Saccharomyces cerevisiae S288C: one gene and its partners. The gene in region 2 interacts genetically with the main gene of each other region. Each region holds a gene or a part of one and is shown on either strand. Other genes may lie near its edges. The genes, in order: YOR387C, ECM3 and SEG2.

What was found.
Region 1: mutations in ECM3 (region 2) and YOR387C together harm fitness more than expected from each alone (negative genetic interaction), as found in Saccharomyces cerevisiae (one large-scale study listed by BioGRID).
Region 3: mutations in ECM3 (region 2) and SEG2 together harm fitness more than expected from each alone (negative genetic interaction), as found in Saccharomyces cerevisiae (one large-scale study listed by BioGRID).

What each region holds. Positions count from the first base shown.
Region 1 is NC_001147.6:1,069,077-1,072,264, forward strand, and holds YOR387C (uncharacterized protein), read right to left. Parts: upstream 1,166-3,188; coding exon 545-1,165; downstream 1-544. Other genes in the region: FDH1 (formate dehydrogenase (NAD+)), read right to left, coding at 2,717-3,188.
Region 2 is NC_001147.6:493,256-497,015, reverse strand, and holds ECM3 (putative ATPase ECM3), read right to left. Parts: upstream 1,890-3,760; coding exon 48-1,889; downstream 1-47. Other genes in the region: translation machinery-associated protein TMA46, read right to left, coding at 2,546-3,583. UniProt on the Saccharomyces cerevisiae protein: May be involved in cell wall organization and biogenesis.
Region 3 is NC_001143.9:240,866-244,625, forward strand, and holds the start of SEG2 (Seg2p), read right to left. Parts: upstream 1,719-3,760; coding exon 1-1,718. Other genes in the region: glutamine--fructose-6-phosphate transaminase (isomerizing) GFA1, read right to left, coding at 2,355-3,760. UniProt on the Saccharomyces cerevisiae protein: Likely plays only a minor role in eisosome assembly.

The DNA of each region.
Region 1 (3,188 bases), 580 kb from region 2:
CTGTGAACTAATTAAAAGGGAAAAGAGAATGCCTTGGTTAGATTGCTTGGAGCAATAGTCTTACCATGATGATCAGTCGGATTCTGACGACGTTGGGTATTTTAAAACACGCGTAATTGAAAGGGTGATGTTGAGAATGGACCACTTCAAGATATGCTCGAAAATGTAGCTATATTTCACGGATGAATAACTCGTAAGAATGTGCAGTAGCTGATGGACCTAGGAACGATCAAGTCAACGTTGTATTTTGGTTCGGCAAACAATTGATATGATGTTGACAAGAAAACCATCTGCGCTCTAATCTCTAAGTACACGTGCATTTGGACCTATCATCAAAAGAGAATAAGAGGATACTTTCAAGAGAAGTTCAAAAAAGAATCATTATTATGATCCAATGACAGTGACAATAAGATCAACATAAAAAAGAAAAGTCAGAAGTATAAATCTGGGTCTTTTTCTCTAAAATAATTATAGTCTGTTAATTTATAAAACTGCCTAAAAAATATACTTAAAATATGTCTACAGATTATGCAGCTGGAAAAAATCAAGCAAAACCAGCGTCTGGTGGACAAACGGCCTTCAACTGGATGGCGGTACAATAATCTGGTAATGTCTCATTCGCAGCGAAAATGTTCACAGTTGGGGTGCTCAAAATAACAGAAGCAAAGTTTGGGTAACAGGAAGCAACTTGAACGCCATACTGAGTAGAGTTAAACAATTGGTTAGCTAAACCGGTTATGAAGGAAGCATTATCAGCGGTGTCTGCCCAAGAGTTGTATTCAATTTCACCAGTAACAGTGTTAGCAAAAGGAACCATAGCATCACCAATGGATTGAGGGTTACAAGTGTAGATATTGGTGGTGAAGATTAGTGGAGAAAAGTTCTTCGTATCATTGCTAGCAATAGTAGTCAACTTTGGGAGGAATCTTGTTTCCTGGCCCAAATATCTTGCCCAAGCGTCACCAGCGCTTTCAGTTAAAACGTCGGCACCAGCAAACGTAGATTGACCCAAAAATGTACCATTTTGGCCAACGACTTCCATAACGTAGGTACCACAGTGAGGTCCATGTAGGTTATTACAAGTGACGTTAGTCAAATCAAATCTGACGGCTGTTGCAACAGACACAAGGACGCTGAAAAAAGTAAAAATGTTTAGGAAACTCATGGTATGGTTGTTGTTCTTGATTTCTTGAGATTGTACAATCTATCAGAAGCAGTAGCTCTCCATTTTGAATGAAAATTACGATGCTTATATATCAATTATACCTGTTATATGCTGAAAACCTTAATGATTATATTAACCTTTTTCTAGCAACTGAAAATACAGATCTGGAATATGTTTCTATATTTCCAACCTCAGCGGTTATTCGAAAAAAAAATAATTGACCCGCAGGGTGTATAGGTAGTTGATGAAAGTATCATTGTTTTTAATTTATTGTTAAAAGTCCGAAAAGCGAGAATGCATGAAAGTATTACCTTCCATTCCAGGAATAGAAGCAACACTAATTCAAAAGCCCGTTTAGGAAAGATCCGAATATTTTGACAGTAGTACGTAATGAATAACCACTCAGGTGATACTAAGACAAATTTTACAACATTTTAATGTGTTCCTGATTTGATTATGCAACACTTTTTTTGACCCAGTCCAAAAAAACTGCCGTAATATACTTCATTGGTTGTCGTACAAGTAAGCTTTAACATGGTTCTCGAAGTCAAAGCGCAAACATGCGACCAATGGGTCAAAATAATGGTAAGACGCTGCAAAATTCTCTTCACTTAATTGAAAAAAAGTTTCATAATTCATGTCGGACAGATTTATTTCTGGACAATTTGGTTCTGTTGAATTCAGAAATGCTCAGGGTTCATCATGCCATAGTGCCACTTCAATGGAAGACAATACCTTTGAGAAAAAAAGGTACCTTGCATGAGGTATGATGCACGGGTGCACTGTTAAAAAAAAAAAAATTTCAGATGTATTTAAAGACTTTCTAGGCTGGGCGGCTAACAAAAAAGTGATGGAGAGTGAATCAACAGGTGCCAATATGCAGCAAGTGGAACTTTCTGGGGATTTTATTACTGTGATGTTCGACAAATAGTTCAAATAATTATAAGCTAGTGGCTGCATTGGATTATGAAACAGGGAATCAGATATAGGCTTCCCTGGCTTTCCTTCGAAACGTTTGAAGTAGTAAGCGATAACCTATCCCTGAACACTTAACATTATATGGCTCTTTTCTGCAGCAGATACTTTTGGAGTCTTAAAAGCACAATGTTTGAGCCGGCCAGGCGCCCATAATTAGAAATAAAAACTGTTTATAGTGTAGATGATCAGTTGTGATTATGCTACTGTTACAATTAATGAAGTTGATTGCGATCTCTCCTTTTACTGTATCTTTAGTTCTGTTATTAACGACGAGCCAAATTCCAGAAAAACAGTAAGGGAGAAAGACTTTTCCTCTTTATTTGAACCGCTACCGTGAAGATCGTTTACTGCCAAATTTTGACAGCAGATTTTGTATATAGCTACCATATCAGCAGTTTCAATTATTTGATATTAATAAACCGCTCTTCTATTTTTTAAGAGATAACGAAAATTTTGCTTTACAAAATATTTAGCTAAGGTATAAATGTGCTATGGACGAATAGTGGAGAATACGCCAAAACAAGAACAAAAGGAGACCGGAAAACTTCTGCTCACAAATACTCATAATCACTCTTATTTCTTCTGTCCATAAGCTCTGGTGGCATAAGAACCATTCTGCACAATAATATCCTGTGGACGGTAATCAAACTTTTTGGAAAAGTAACTATTTAGGATGTTCTTTACTCCCTGAGCGTACCTCTTTTGAGCATCCAGAGATGTGCCACTGATATGAACAGTCATTGCGTTTCCCACGTGGTCCTTATTGTCCATAGTCCTCCAGGGATGGTCTTTTGGTGCTGGTTGCTTATCCCAGACATCACCACCATAGCCAGCCAATTTACCAGACTTGACTGCCTCGGCAACATCTTCTGCGACACAAATAGCACCTCTAGCGGTATTCACCAAGTATGCACCATCTTTCATGTGGGAAATAAGCTTTTTATTGAATAAACCCCTTGAGTCCTTGTGCAATGGACAGTTGATGGTAACAACATCTGACTGAGCAACCATATCCTCCAATTTCTCTACTCTCTGAACAATATCA
Region 2 (3,760 bases):
TGAGAATGGGAATGCATGAATAGATCTTGTTTCTTCCTTAACGAACTTTATAATTTCATTTGAACTTTGATGAAATAAGACACCAAAAATGGTAAACTAACGACCATCAAAGGATATTGAAGCATCAAAAAGAAAGAGGTACATTCCATTTGAACGGGTTCAGTTTCGTCCTCAGGGGTATAACTTGCAGTGAAGTAGATTAAGGTGGTCATTGTTGGTAAGTTCCAAGTAATGGCGGTAACAAACAATAACATCTTGTCGTTTTCCCAATTTAGCCATCCCGCTTTCACTAGACGGTCACACCACAAGACACCAAAGATCGGCATGATACATTGTCTGAGAAAGACTAATACCACTGCGGATTTCCAGAAACCAGGGTATAATTTTCCAATTTTCAATCTACCAAGAGTAGCGCCTAAAAGAATCAAACCGAAGGGAACTGAAGCGGCTCCAACATAAGATGTAAAATCCATAATGAAAGTTAGAGCAGGTGCATTATCTGGGGCTTGTTTGATTTTTGGTGTATTACTGGTCGTAACGAAAAGGGCTTTTACCCAGGGAATAAAAGCGATAATCAAAGCCAGGATAACAGCCATGGAACAAGGCCTTAGACAATTTTTTAGAAAAAAGACGAAAAATTTTGTTAAGGGAAATTTCTGTAGCCATTTTGGTAAAGAGGAACCGGAAGTCTCAATATCTTTCTTACTAACAGTGGCATCTGAGGTGATTATTCTTGTTAGGTTGGAAGTTTTGACTCTTTGTAAAGTGGAGGTTCTAGTCAAATTTGGAGAAATAGTACCGTCTGCCTGCAAAACAGAGGGTGCTCCTTGGGAGCTGATAGAACTTTTCCTTCTTCTACCGTATTGATCAACATTGGAGTATTCACGAATTAAATCCGACATGCCTTCCGCGGGTAGTTCACGCATATCGATGGAACGTAAGGAGCCAGTGATGGAATTCCTGCGGTTATTATGAACATGTGATGTTCTTGACTCGGTAGTGTATGCTATTGGTTGACTTCTAGTTCTGTAAGTAGGATCGTTAAGCTCGCTTACAGATTGGGCATCCACATGGTTTGTGCGTAGTGAGTGTGTAATGCTATCGATAGAGACCACCGCGGATGAGTTCGAGCTCCTGTCATCTATTGCTGGAGGGGCAGTATGTGTAGGCTTGGGGACAGAGAGTTCAGTTTTTTCTTTTTTATTTTTCTCAGAAATGTAGCTTGCTTGTGAACTGTTAGGAACGGTAGACTCGTTGGGCTCTTTCAGGATATCTTGGTTGGATGAAGAAGAAGAATTGCCTTCAATTGGTTGTGTTGGCTGTTGGGCAGAATCATCATTGGTCAACGTATTTTCTTCATCGTCATCACCTTTGTAATGGAAATCGTTTTCAATTAGTCTGAAACCACCTAAATTGAAAACACATATCAAAAACATGGCCAGAAAGATGATAACGTTGGCAACACCTTTCTCACCTTCTGCTTCTGTAAATATAAACCCTTGGTCCATGGATTGCAAATAGGCGATGGGTAGATCGCTGATATTGGGAAACATACCTCCTGCAAGTATACCACCACGCCATCTCTTAGGAACAGGCAGCACACTGCGAACAATAAAGGCAAACCCCAAGCCAGTTGCGAACAGTATAACAGACGTCAGACAAATAATGCCGACATCTTTGATATCGTTATCTTCTATATTTGCTACGATTTTATTGAATGATAAACAAGGAAGCAGAATTGTTAAAACGATATCAGAGATGGACCTTGTGGCCTGAACGGTTAAGATGTTCATCTTGCATAAACCGAAGCCTACACCAATAATCAGATAGATTTTGATGATTGGTCTGACAGAGGCCCAGATGGCTTGTCCCAGTGTGATGTGTGTCATTGTCTACTTGTCTTGAACTTACTCTTTGTCTTCTATTGTTTTGTTTGTGTTGGTTCTATAATGCTAAACTTAACTATCTATGCCTTTTTATCTTCCTCTCGGTAATGGTCAACAATACGCAGTTTCTGTACAAATGTAAAGTCTGAAAAACCTAATATAAAGAAAAATTGCGAGGCTTCTGAGAAGAAATTCCGGATGCCCTATGATGAAAGTCTATATTAAAAACAATGAAAGGCCTATTATATAACAAAAATTACAAGCATATAATAACGGTGCAAGAGTAACAGATGGTAGCGTACGAAGGAGGGATGCGTCAAACATATATTCAGGCCCTCTAAGTATATAGCCTCATCCCCCGAGGCTGCAAAGAGATGCAGTGAAAGGAAGCTCAACTATCACCGATTGTGAAATAGAGAGCAAAACTCGAGCACTTTTAATCCCAGATATTGTCGGGCGGATCCGAGGTGAAAAAACACCTCAACAACGTGGGGGCGTGGGGCGTGGGATATCGAAAGGGGCAAAAAGACGGCAGATAAGCATGGGCCGCGGTCGTGCTGCGTGATCAGCTACATGACGTGACATGCTTTGTGTTGGTGTGTGTGCGTGTATTATATATACGGTGGCATATATACAGTTTAGTCTATATGAATTTTAGACTATGCGAGCGTGGCGGAGTTGGCTTTTTTGATGTCGAAGGTGGGGTTGCTACCGTCACCGTAGTCCTTGATGCCGCCGTCGTCTTGGTGGTCAGCCTTCTTCAAGGCATCTGTGAATTCAGTAAGATCCCATGCGGATCCCTGGGTGACGTCGTCTGGCATGTCGGCGTTGTCCGTCTCAAATGACTTGTTTTCGGCGCTCATCTTAAGAATGATTTCTCTACCAGTAGGTTTCCTCTTACTAGATAACTTCTTTTCAGCGTTAATCTTTGCGATGACGTGGTCCTTCTTCCATTGGGCGAAGTTGGCAATTGTTATTGGTGTTAGCTTGGATTTGTCTAGTTTCCCTCTTTCTGTTTCGATAAACTCCTCCAGCGTAATTTTTGGCTGTTTCTCGAGCGACTCCCTCTCGAGCCTCTTTTGCTCGTTGGTTTTCAGCACAAAGCCCTCTGGTAGGGAGTGTCTGTACATACATTTGTCACCTCCGTTAGGACAAATCCAAAACCAACCGTATTTACCGTTTTCCACGGCCTCGATGAAGTATTTGCATACTTTGTCGGTGGTGGTCTTTGGGTTACCGTGCTTCGACAGGATAACTTTTCTCAGCTTTTCTTCATCCCAGTTGTCCATTGTGTCATTTTCCTTTTCACTTCTTGTATCTTGGTATAAATCTTTCTTTTCCATTCTTCTACCGACGTTCAAGTCATGTGAGAACTTACATTTGGCACCTTTGTTACAATTCCCCAGTTTGAACAGAGCACAAACCATGGACTTGGGATCTACACCCGCACGAACCCTTTGGTCTGCTACAGGGTTGAATAGTGCTCTTCGTTCAGCTTCTTCGGCTTCTCTGCGCTTTTTTTCTTCGAGTTTCTTTAACCTCATCTCTTCTTTCTTGGGGTCGGATTGTGATTGCACTTGTTTGATGTATTTTTGGACTTTGGTAGAACGGTTCTTGTTCTTCATACCGAACGTCTTGTCGACATTATCCTTCTTCTTACCAGCCGCTTGGGCCTGTTTTCCCTTTTTTGGTGGCATCTTCGAAATATAACTTTCCTGCGATTTTATATGTGTAAAGCCCAGAGGTTTACTAATAGAGTGGCTTCCCTTGCTTTCTAGAAATAGTAAAACACATTGATTAAAAAAAGATATATTGTCGATTTTCACTAACTCATCGCTGGGGAACAAAAATTTTTTCATTATCATCACAGTTCA
Region 3 (3,760 bases), on a different chromosome or scaffold from region 2:
TCGATCCCAGAAGTGCTAGGGAATTTTTCAGAACTTTCCGGTTCATTATCGGAAAGCGCCTCTTCTTGATCTTCTTTTTGGACTAAAAAGCAATTTGTATCGACGAGGCCTGACTTTTTTCCCTTTGTACGTTCTTCCTGTTTTTCACTATCATCATCTTGCGGAATTTTTAGTCCAACCTGATTTCCGCCTATTTCAGACTCCACACTTGTCTTTGCAGTAGCGCGAAGATCAGTTGCCGAGCCTTCTATATAATTATAATCGGATAATTCGCTGCCAGTGAGACTGTTTGAATCTGCAATGCACCTCACTTCGTTATCTGAATTCATGTGGAAGTTAGAATTGTTTAAAGAGCCGAGAAGAATAGGATCTACTAAATTTCCTTCGGCATCAACAGAATCGATATTCTCTGCATTTTCAATATTCTGAGTTTGATTGGAGAGAGTTGATGGCTCTTTCTCCACGTCTTCCGGAGGTACATAGGCAGGCTTAGGTTCTGATAAAGTAGGTTGACGAATCGTGATCGATTTGACCTCGGATGCTACTTCCTGTCCTTTGTGAAAGTGTTGTTTTCTTTTGCTTTCAATTAGTTTTAATTCTTGGGCTTCAAGGTCGGCATTCTCCTTAACTATATTTAGCTCTCTTTTCAATAACTCCATTCTCCGTTCTTCATCTAGCTTAACTTTTCGCAATTCCAAAATTAAGCTTTGTTCCCTTTCTTCTTCGTTCAATTTTGCTATTTCGATATTTGATATTTTTTCCTCCAAGCTATGAACCTCTTTAAGCAATGTTTCAATTTCTTCCTTTTTCTCACGTCCACTGAGACCACTTTTATCTTTTTTGGGTATGCTACGATCGAGAACGCTGGGTTCAATAAAAGAGTTTTCGTCATCGGATATAATCATGGGTTTAAATTCTAAAGGATCATGAAGATCCTCTTGCAGTTCTTGTTCCGTTTCCTCGTTCATAGTTGTTGGTATTAATGGAACATTGTTATGCCGTTGCTTTAATGATGTAGTATGCATTTTAGATAATACTTTGCCATGATAATCGTTTTTTGATTTACCGCCGCTTTCACTTTTTTTCTCTTGTGATCCTGCTTTCTTAGTAGTTTTATTCCTATGCATTAGACTAGTTTTGTTGTTTCGAGTAGGCAAAGAATATGCTCTACCACCTCGTTGGTTTGAGCGGTTGCTCAGACTGTATCTAGGAGGCTCTACTTCCACGGGTACTTCCACAGCCATTAACCCCCTAGGGCCTGGTATGTATTTTTTTATCGTCCTTATTGTGCTGCCTGAGTTCCCAAGTGATGTGGTCCTTGATTTACTATTCTGACCAGTCGAACTTGAAATGTTTAAAACCTTCGATGACTGCTTGCCTCCAAATTCTCGAAACGTGGTTTCTGCATCCTCGTGAGCCCTGTGTTGCCTTCTCCCCGCCGAATTATTAGAGGTATTCTTATGTCCTTGGTTTGGCAAACTCGACGTGCGCTTAGAGTATTGGCGAACGTTACCATTCATTAAGAGCATCCTTGAGTTAGTCCTAGAATTCGAGAGCATTGTATACCTATTAATCCCTGCGATTGACGTAGTTCGAGAGGTAAAACTCTGATTGTATTGCGGTATTTTACTCTTGTCAACGGTCCTCCCATTATAACTGAGCGCATTTCCAATTGCTGCTGCTGCTGCTAAGGCATCTGGACTACTTTCTTGGATCATCCCGCTATTTCCAATGCTCCCACTATTTGTTGATACTTGCCTCTTTCAGAGCTATCTGCCTTATGTTGATTATTAGGGTTAATAAATGCTATTTCCTCCCGCAATAATTGTGTAATTTGAACGAAGAATATGAAGAAGATGGAATGGCGATTTTCACTCTAAATTTTAAAAATTGCCTCTTTACAATAGCGAATTTCCTAACCCTTTTTTTTTTTTGTTGATTGCCTATTGCTCGTTCACTTCCCATTTATTTTCTCTCGAATTTCACCAAAAGTTGATGTGGATAATCAATCATCGGGCCTATTCCTGCGGGTAAAACGCAGGGCCCAACTCAGGATAGGGTTTAATATTATTTTAGAGGACTTACAAGAAGGAAGTTATATGGTTTAAAAATTGTAACAAAGTTAGAACACATTTATTTAGCAGGTCTAATTTAGGGCTGCAACTATCTTTTTGGTTATTCATATAAAATATAATTTTTTATTTATATAGAGAATACAAGTGGAATCATCTTTAACGCCAGCTTGTAGTGCGCATTGCAGAATAATGGAAGTTCAAAAATTAAAAGCGAAGGAGAAGTGATAGTAGAAAGACGGATGGGAGGCTGGGGGACGAAGAGAAAGTAAAAGGGTTAATTTATTCGACGGTAACAGATTTAGCCAAGTTTCTTGGAAAATCAACATCAATCCCTTTATTAACAGCCAACCAATATGACATTAGTTGTAATGGAATAATATTAATTAGACCTTGTAAACAATCAACAGTTTGTGGAACTTCTAAGGTTTGCAGGTCGATTGATTTAGATTTTTGCGCCCACACTTCATCATTTTCGTTACAAATAATAATTGGATGGCCCTTTCTTGCAGTAACTTGCTCAATAGAGGAAACTACTTTAGGGAATAGAGAGTCTCTGGTACCAAAAGCAATGATTGGCAAGTTTTCGTCCACCAAGGCCAAGACACCGTGCTTCAACTCACCTGCCAAAACACCTTCAGAATGCATATAAGAAATTTCTTTGATCTTCAAAGCACCTTCCAGAGCAGCAGCAAATTGGTAACCTCTACCCAATAACAATAGAGATTTTTGATCCTTTAATTCAGTCGCACAGAGCTTTTTTATTCTTGGTTCCAGCTTTAATACCTGCTTAATTTGGCCCGGGATTAACTTCAAGCCTTGAATGATTTCAATTCTTCTGTCTATTTTCGATACACGGTCATCTGACAGCGATAGAGCAAACATCACTAAGGCAATATACTGGGAAGTATAAGCTTTTGTAGAGGCAACACCAATTTCAGGACCAGCGTTAATATGAACACCACAGTGGGTGACACGAGAGATAGAAGAACCAACACTGTTAACAATTCCGACAGTTAAGGCTCCTCTTTCTAAACAATAATTTAGAGCCAGCATGGTATCCGCAGTTTCACCACTTTGTGAAACAAACACGCATACATCGTCTCTGAAGACAGGGCATTTTCTGTCCAGAAAGTCAGACGCTAATTCCACACTAACTGGGATATCTGATAATTCTTCGAAGATAGCACGAGTAGCCAAACATGAATGATAAGAAGTACCGCATGCGATCATGATCAGTCTCCGTGCTCTTCTGACAACTGGTAACCATGCCTTTAAACCACCCAATATCACTTTATTATTTTCATAGTCGATTCTACCTCTCATAGTATTGAAAGTAGATTCTGGTTGCTCATAGATTTCCTTTTGCATAAAATGGTCGTAAGGGCCCTTCATGATCTGAGCTAACTCCATCTCTAAAGTTTGAATGGACCTTGTCATTGATGCGCCTACTTCTCTTCTAGATCTATGAATATGTAACTCACCATCGTAAATATGAGCCAAATCGTCATCTTCTAAAAATAGCACCTTCTTGGTATGTTTAACAACAGATGCCGCATCCGAAGAAACAAAAAATTCCACCGGTGTTGGAGATCCATCTTCTGATAGGAAAGCCCTGGATTGAGAATGTCTCAAGTTAAATTCATTGGCGGCAATTGGTAGTAAATTGGCATTTTGGGAACCAGCTT